Cricetulus griseus: one gene and its partner. The protein of the gene in region 1 purifies or fractionates together with the protein of each later gene. This does not show direct contact. Links are inferred from orthologs where the notes say so. Each region holds a gene or a part of one and is shown in the gene's direction. Other genes may lie near its edges.

What was found. Proteins that work in one complex are often made in the same cells at the same time.
Region 2: the proteins of Mapk9 (region 1) and Dusp8 purify together in Homo sapiens (affinity purification with mass spectrometry; 4 studies listed by BioGRID and IntAct, with this or other methods). This does not show direct contact. The link is inferred for Cricetulus griseus from reciprocal best matches to the Homo sapiens genes MAPK9 and DUSP8.

The regions. Positions count from the first base shown.
Region 1 is NC_048600.1:64,316,904-64,321,207, forward strand, and holds the start of Mapk9 (mitogen-activated protein kinase 9), read left to right. Parts: upstream 1-1,492; 5' UTR 1,493-1,559; coding exon 1,560-1,681; intron 1,682-2,059; exon of another isoform or gene 2,060-2,256; coding exon of another isoform or gene 2,257-2,300; intron 2,301-4,304. UniProt on the Homo sapiens protein: Serine/threonine-protein kinase involved in various processes such as cell proliferation, differentiation, migration, transformation and programmed cell death.
Region 2 is NC_048596.1:59,099,930-59,103,495, forward strand, and holds part of Dusp8 (dual specificity protein phosphatase 8), read left to right. Parts: intron 1-2,045; coding exon 2,046-2,212; intron 2,213-2,807; coding exon 2,808-2,967; intron 2,968-3,187; coding exon 3,188-3,311; intron 3,312-3,517; coding exon 3,518-3,566. UniProt on the Homo sapiens protein: Has phosphatase activity with synthetic phosphatase substrates and negatively regulates mitogen-activated protein kinase activity, presumably by catalysing their dephosphorylation.

The DNA.
Region 1 (4,304 bases):
GGCATCTTTTTTCTTTTTTAATTTAAATTAAAAACAATCTTATTTTACATATCAATCCCAGTTCCCTCTCCCTCCCATTGTTGCTGGCATCTTAAAGACCAAAATAATAACTCATTAATTTTTCAGTTAACTTCTTCCTACCTTTCACAGGGTGAGCATATCAGTCACATTTCTCCCTTTTTTAGTCACTGTGATGGAATGCATGACACAGCAGCTTAGGGAAGAAAGGATTTATTTTGGCTCATGCCTTACAAGGGTACAGCCCACCCTGATGGAGTACACAGTGGTATGAGCCTGCTGCTGGGGTTCCTCAGTCTCCACAGACCAGGGAGCCGTTGGTGCTGGAAGCAGTGAAACTGTTACCCTCAAGTTGTCCTCCAGCAACCCACTTTGTCCAGCCAAGTCACACCTCCTAAAGGTTCTTCATCTTCCCAAACAGCACCCACTTCTGAGGACCAAGCCCATTGGGGGAATCAGCCTGCTGTCCAAACCAGAAGAAAACTACTTTCTGAAGCCACTGGTTTATAGCCATATTTGTGAATATAAGTAGAGTGGAGATAATTATTTTACTGTGAACTGTAGCTGAGCTTGGGGTACAGGGAATGAAGGCCAACTCTGGCTCCACCTTCGTGAAACAGGTTCATCTGTGGGACACACACTTCATACCAGTGTCTCTAATCCTCAAGACAGCCTGTTATACTGGCACAGGAGTCTCACTTTGTGGTTCATCATATTAGCCTGGATCCATACACCTAGATGCCCAGTTCTTGCTGTCTCCAGGACCTCTAGAATCAATCATTCTGAAATAATGCTCCATCTCTAGCTGAGATTTCTACACATAAGCTGGTTCCCCAAGAAGGAAATGGATGAGACACATCAGTGACATAGTGGGCTTACCATGGCTGGGAATAATGTGTAAATGTTTTCTGCTGAAGTGGATCTTTCTCCACCCCTTCATACCTGTTTTTCCTGTGAACTCAGCTTTATGCATGCTAGCACTCACTACTGAGCTGTATCCCCAGCTCCAACAATTTATTATAATACAGTCCTTTAAAAATGTGGCCTTCCTGCATCTCAAAATTCCTTTTCAGGGCTCAACAATCCTTTTCAGTGACTCAACAGTTAAGAGCACTGACTGTTCTCCCAAAGGACCCAGGTTCCATTCCCATCACCCACATGTGGCTCACAGCTTTCCAGGCATGCACATACATGCGTGCAGACAAAACACCCAAATGCATAAAATAAATGTTAGAAAAATTTTGTTTTAATTTCTTCTTTTGAAGGTCTTACACCACTGAAATGTCTGGGTTTTTTTGTTTGTTTGTTTGTTTGTTTGTTTTTGTTTTTGTTTTTTTTTGGATGTGCCCTTGCTTAAATTGAGATCTTGGCCAAGCTGATTTTCCCATCTCATAGCCATACCTTTACATTCCAGCAGATCGGACCCACTATGAACTGAGATCCTAGTGTACAATTTGGTAAGCTCATCAGTTCATTCTGTTTCTCTCCTTAGGGATCTGACGAAGGTAGCATCTCTTCAGAATACTGTATGACACTACATCATGAGTGACAGTAAAAGTGATGGTCAGTTTTACAGTGTGCAAGTGGCGGACTCAACTTTCACTGTCCTAAAACGTTACCAGCAATTGAAACCGATTGGCTCTGGAGCCCAAGGAATTGTTTGGTAAGTCTGGGCGTTCTAATAGCATAGACTAAGTCTCTAGTGAAAAGTAAAACTAAATCATAGTTTAGAAACACTGATTGAAAAAATACCCCCTGTTGTAGATTAGATTTTGAGCTAAACTAAATCAATCCTTGCTATAGTTATATACAGTCATTTATAGGATACAAACTCAATTTTTCTTTTGCTTTGTTATTGGTTTTATTTATTTATTGGTTTCTTTTTCTTTGTTTTCTTTTTTATTTGCCCTGTCATTATGATATCAGAATAATTGGTATTCAGTGAGGTGTAACTGGAATTTGGCGTTTTATTCATTTCTTCATCATGGCCACCTTCTCCCCCCTCCTCCTTTTATTCCCAATCACTCCTATTCATTTCCAGGCGCCATCATTGCAGTGCCTTGCCATTCATTGGCAGGATGAGGCCAGGCAGTGTCATTATCACACCATGGATTAACCAGGAAGGGATGCTGTGTGAGGGGTTGGGCTGGCCGTCTCTTCTTTGGTGTCTCTCTTCAACTATGTGTCCAGCCCAGGACGTCAGAACCATTGGTCTGACCCTGAACCTTAGGCTCTTGCATGGTAAGACAGTCAGCTGCTGCGACATCACTGGCCAGACAAAGGTAACGTTTCTCACGTGTTTTCTAGACTACCGTTATCAGCACCTCCCAAACTTTTTAGACTGTAGTTTTTGGATGAGACCCCCCTCCCTCCCCAGTGATAAACAAGGTTTTTTTGTCTTTAAAAAAATTGTGATTACATAAAACATTTAATGTTTACAGCTGGTAGGCAAAGAGGATTGAAAATAAAAGTCCTCTTCTGGGCATTCCAGGAGGAGAGTTTTGGTTTTCCTGTGAAGATGCTGAGCATGGCATCATCAGTGGGCTTCAGCTGATACTCCACTGCAGAGACTCTGATCAGGGAAATCTGCTGTTTTCCTTAATGTAGGCAACTGGGGAGACCTGGGTGCTCAGAGAAGAAACTAGGGAAGAAGGTGCTACATGGAGGGAGTGCCAGCTGTGAGCACATAGTGGGGTGTTAACTTCCAAGTGACAGTGAGCACTAGTACAGGCAGAGTGTCCTTTATCTGAACTGCTCGGAAGCAGAAGTGTTTCTGAGCTTAGATTTTAACTTATTATTATTATTATTACTATTACTATTATTATTTTTTTGATTTTTTGATAGAGGGTTTCTCTGTGGCTTTGGAGGCTGTCCTAAAACTCACTCTGTACACCAGGCTGGCCTCCAGCTCACAGAGATCTGCCTGCCTTTGCCTCCTGAGTGCTGGGATTAAAGGTGTGCACCACCAACGCCTGACCTGAGTTTAGATTTTTGTCACACTTTTCAATATTTGTATTTACTGGTGGACATCTGTAATCCTGAAAAATGAAATGCTCCAAAATCCAGTACTCCGAGTACCACAGTAATGCTCAAAAAGCTTCAGTTTTGGAGTGCTGAGATTTTGAATTTACTCTGAAGATGATCAAACCAGATTTAAACCCTTGTGACAAGAAAGGTTTTAAAGTCAGTGGGATGGCTCAGGTTGTAACGTGGGTGGTAATAGAAAGTAATGAGTGTTTATTTGATATGTAAACTCTTTCTTACTTGGAATTAGATAGTAATTTGACAAGAGGATGGAGGAAGGGGGGATATGAATTATCTTGGAGGGAGGTAGACAGAGCATCCATATTAAATATGGGCTTCATTTATCCACTGGGTCCATTATTGACTTGTTTTTGAAGTTTAAAAGTGAAGTAGATAGTATATAGTATATAATTACACAAGATCTGCCCTGACAGTCTCTGTATATGTGATGTAGTTGAGGACTAGCTCATTGACTTGTTTTTGTCCCATGGGTTTAGGGATAGATCTGGGTCTAAACCACCTGTTGATCTCTTGGAACTTTATTGCACTTAGTTAGAACTTGATGACTTGAATCACTGACCAGGACTCTGACCTAATTTTTGTTTAAAATCTTAATAACAATGACCAAATCAATATTCATTAAATACCTCTTTAGAAATTCTCAATGAATTATATCCATCTCCATAGGTCGATTACATCCAAGAACTGTTTAGGGCTAGAGAGGAGGCTCGGTGGTATAGTGCTTGCATAGTATATGGAAGTACTTGGGTTCCTTGCTAGCACCAAAAACCTACATACATATGTAAGCATACATACATATGTACATATATACATACAGACACTCAGATATATGTGTATGTATATACACAGGTATATGTATTCATACATATTTGCATATATATACACACACCCATGTATACATATGTATACATACTTTAATTTTGTAACTGACAGTTTTATAGTATGTTCTAATATAGGAAAGTAAAACCTTCAGAAGTGATTGTACTTGTCCCCCACTTCCTCTTTTGTTTTTATCCTTTGCCCAGATGTATGGTATCAGTTAGGATAGGGGAATGATCTGGTAATGGTACATTCCTATTAAAGCAAAACAAAAAGTTTACTTTTGCTAAAATAAGTTCAATATTGGATAAGCTGCTACCTTGACAATAGGAACTGGATTTTCTACCACTTATCATTAAGAGCTAGCCATTTTTCTATTAATAGTCTTAAACTTTTTGTTAGCATTGTACTTGTACATTAAA
Region 2 (3,566 bases), on another chromosome or scaffold:
AGTAGCCTGGGCTGTGCCAAGTCCACTGACAAATAAATGCATGTTTCTGTATGTGTCTCCTTGTAAACATTAAGCTTGATAAGGGTACTAATTGTGGTCTCCCAAGTACAGGTGGTAGGAGCAGTAGACGGGAATGTTCTATAGGAGAATGAGATTCAGGGATGGCCAGAGCATTTTCTAGACCTCCCAGAGACTTGCAAATAGCTGAGGTACACTCACTCAACCTCCATTTCCATCCACCCACCTAGCCTGGAATAGCCCCCCAAATTCCTATAGCCTCAGGCCTTGGAAGGATGGAGTCCATAGGAGTGATCTGGAAGGGTGCTCAAGGGCCTCAGCTTAGCCTGGGAGCTTTCTAAGCTGCTGAGAAGTCTGGGGTGGCTATACTTTTGGAAGCATTTGAACCTCCCTCCTGTGGGTAGGGTGGGCATGGGTCTCTGGTACAATGCATGACCTCCCTTGGGCAGGCTGTGGAGGAAAGACTGAGACCCAAGCTTCTGGCAGAGTAACAAGAAGACAAAAGGGGCTGTAATCTATGGAAGAGGCTATGCAGAAGCACCATCCCTCTAGGGTTGAGGCCTGAGAGGTTACAGACCCCACAATGCCCAACTCAGCCTCCCCTTGGAGTGCCTCAATGTAAGCCGCAGCATTACTGGTACCACCACAACTACCTGTTCCTCCCTGTCTAGCCTTCCTGAGGAAGGGACTGCTTCTCCTCTAAGGCCACCAAAGATAAGATTTCACTGAGGTAGTAGGTAGCAGCCACAACAGATATACTGGTTGAGGGGTTGTGCATACTGTCTGTGAGCTGGGGCAGTGTGAAGGCAAAGGTGGAAGCTTTCCAGGTCCCTGGCACCTGCTTTTCAGGCTGGGAAAAAGCTCTCTGTGCTGTGCTGTGTGTGTGTGTGTGTGTGTGTGTGTGTGTGTGTGTGTGTGTGTACACCTGTGCCCAGAACCCTATCCTCACTTCCTCCCATGGGGCACATTGGGTCTTAGGCCAGGTGTTCTGTGCTCTGGATGGTATGATTGAGACTAGAAACCGAGCCCACTTGCTTGACAGAGCTTGTCATTGTGGAGCATAGGAAGTCCATTCTGCTGAGCTCACCTCACCATGCTGAGAGCTGGTTTCTGGATGAACCCCAGCCAGGCTAGATGTGGCTAGCTCTATTTTCACACCTTTATAATTGTTTTTTTTTTCTTTCTTGAGTCTGTCAACAATGCTGTGTGGCAGGCAAATAAGGAAACTGAGGCCAGAGGCGTGCCTTGCCTGTGGTCACTGAGTCAGACGTACCAGAGGAGCCAGCTTGGGTATCTCAAACTGGTGAAGGGTTTCTTCCCCAGCCAAAAGTCTGGATCTTAGATGTATCTAGACAGTGGCCACAGGGAGCAGGCTGTTTGTACCCTGTGTGCAGGCTTCCCTGCTTCTCTGTCATCTCCTGTTGGGTAGACTGGAGCCATGACTGAACCACAAATGCCCTGTGGGCTGTGGCAATTCCAGTGGGTGATGTCATGCCCAAAGAGGCCCCACCTCAGAAGCCCTTTCCTCCTAGGCCTGGCACTAGAGCACAGGCCTGTGGCTTCCAGCCAACTGGAGTCAGGGAGGGATTGCATCAGCATGGAGAGAGGCTAAGAGCCAGCCTGGCCGAAGGCCAGTCATGTACTGGGGCTGCGAAAGGACTTACCTTGCCATACCTGGGGAATAAGAGACCCTTGATGAGGTCTCAGCCATTCCCTGCCTGGTTTCCATGTGCTGTGATGACAGGCCACCTTGACCCCATATTTATGGGCATCAAAGCAGTGACCCTGAGCCAGTCCCTAATTAGCCTGAGGAGGAATGTGGGCGTAGGTGCCTGCTCTAAATGGGCAGTAGCACACCCCCCACCCCCAGTGCTGCAGAGAAAAGCAAGTAGCCTGCCAGCAAGAGTCCAGGTGCTGGGCCAGAAGCAGGCTGGGCTTGGGGTCTACAGGGTGTGGCTAAGCCCAGAGGAACTCTCCTGCTCTGGCTGGGCAGCCTCCTTAAGAGCTTTCTGTGTCTCCTCCCACAGGGGGCTTTGCCACCTTCTCCTCCTGCTTCCCAGGCCTCTGTGAGGGAAAACCTGCTACCCTACCATCCATGAGCCTCTCTCAGCCCTGCCTGCCTGTGCCCAGTGTGGGCCTGACCCGTATCCTGCCTCACCTCTACCTGGGCTCTCAGAAAGATGTCTTAAACAAGGTGAGTGCACAGGGTGTCACCGCTGATGGTGTAAAGAGGGGGAACCTGGAATCAGGTCCTAAGGTAGTCTGAAGTGAAGAGCAGGTGATAGATGAGTATGAGGTGGGAGCACAGGAGGAACCAGAGCCCCCAACTCACCGAACCACAGTATGGCCCAGGGAGGAACCCAGCGAGGCTAGGTGGAAAAGCAGGCTCCTGAACTCTTCTGTGGTGGGGCACTGGAAGCCTGCATGCCAAACTGTTTCTGTCACTGGGCCACTGGCCAGCTCTGAAAGAATCCCGTGTTTTAAAAATGGTGAGGAGGGAAAAGGATGAAGGCACCGCCCAGGCAACCATAAAATTCCTGGGAGCCCAGTACAGGCTGTAGGTGTGGCTTGCAGAAGCCATCCTTCCTGTGCCCATCCAGTGGTCTCAAAGGTTGAGATGGAGCCAGGCTTTTCCATATAGCAAGACCCTGAACAAAATCTGAGACTCAGAAGACTTTAGAGGCCTGTTCTGCAGAGGGGATGAGAGAGACAGACTTTCAGCTCTTCCTCTAGGGGGTGTTTTGCTTTTCTCTGCTACCCCATTCTGACCCATCTTCCTATCCCTCTAGGATCTGATGACCCAAAATGGAATAAGCTATGTTCTCAATGCCAGCAACTCCTGCCCTAAACCGGACTTCATCTGTGAAAGCCGTTTCATGCGTATCCCCATCAATGACAACTACTGTGAAAAGCTGCTGCCCTGGCTGGACAAGTCCATTGAGTTTATTGGTGAGGGAAAGGGAGGATGTGTCTGTCTCTATGGTGTGGGGGAGGCTGACTAGAGGAAGACTGGATAGAGGCAGAGGGAGTACCATGTTTGGGGCCATCCAGCTCTGGGAAGTCACCCACACTGTCTGTCAGAGGGAGGGAGGGTAGGAGCCTACCTTGGGTAGAAGGAATAGTGCAATCTCAGCCCTCACCTAGTCCCCCACCATCCACCTGTCCCCAGATAAAGCCAAGCTGTCCAGCTGCCAAGTCATTGTTCACTGTCTGGCTGGCATCTCTCGCTCTGCCACCATCGCCATCGCCTACATCATGAAAACCATGGGCATGTCCTCTGACGACGCATACAGGTACTCTTCCCCTCCCGGGCTCTGGGGACCTGGAACTCCTCAACCAATGGCTAACAGCATTGCCCTCCCTTCCTTTCTCCACCCACTTAAACGGTACAGCCTATTGCCCTGGCAGGGAGGGAAAACTGGAGCCCAACACAAAGCTTGGGTACAGGGGGAAATCGGTCACAAGCCTGTTCTGACAGGAGTTTCTCTTGCTTGCCCAGGTTTGTGAAGGATCGGCGCCCCTCCATCTCGCCCAACTTCAACTTCCTG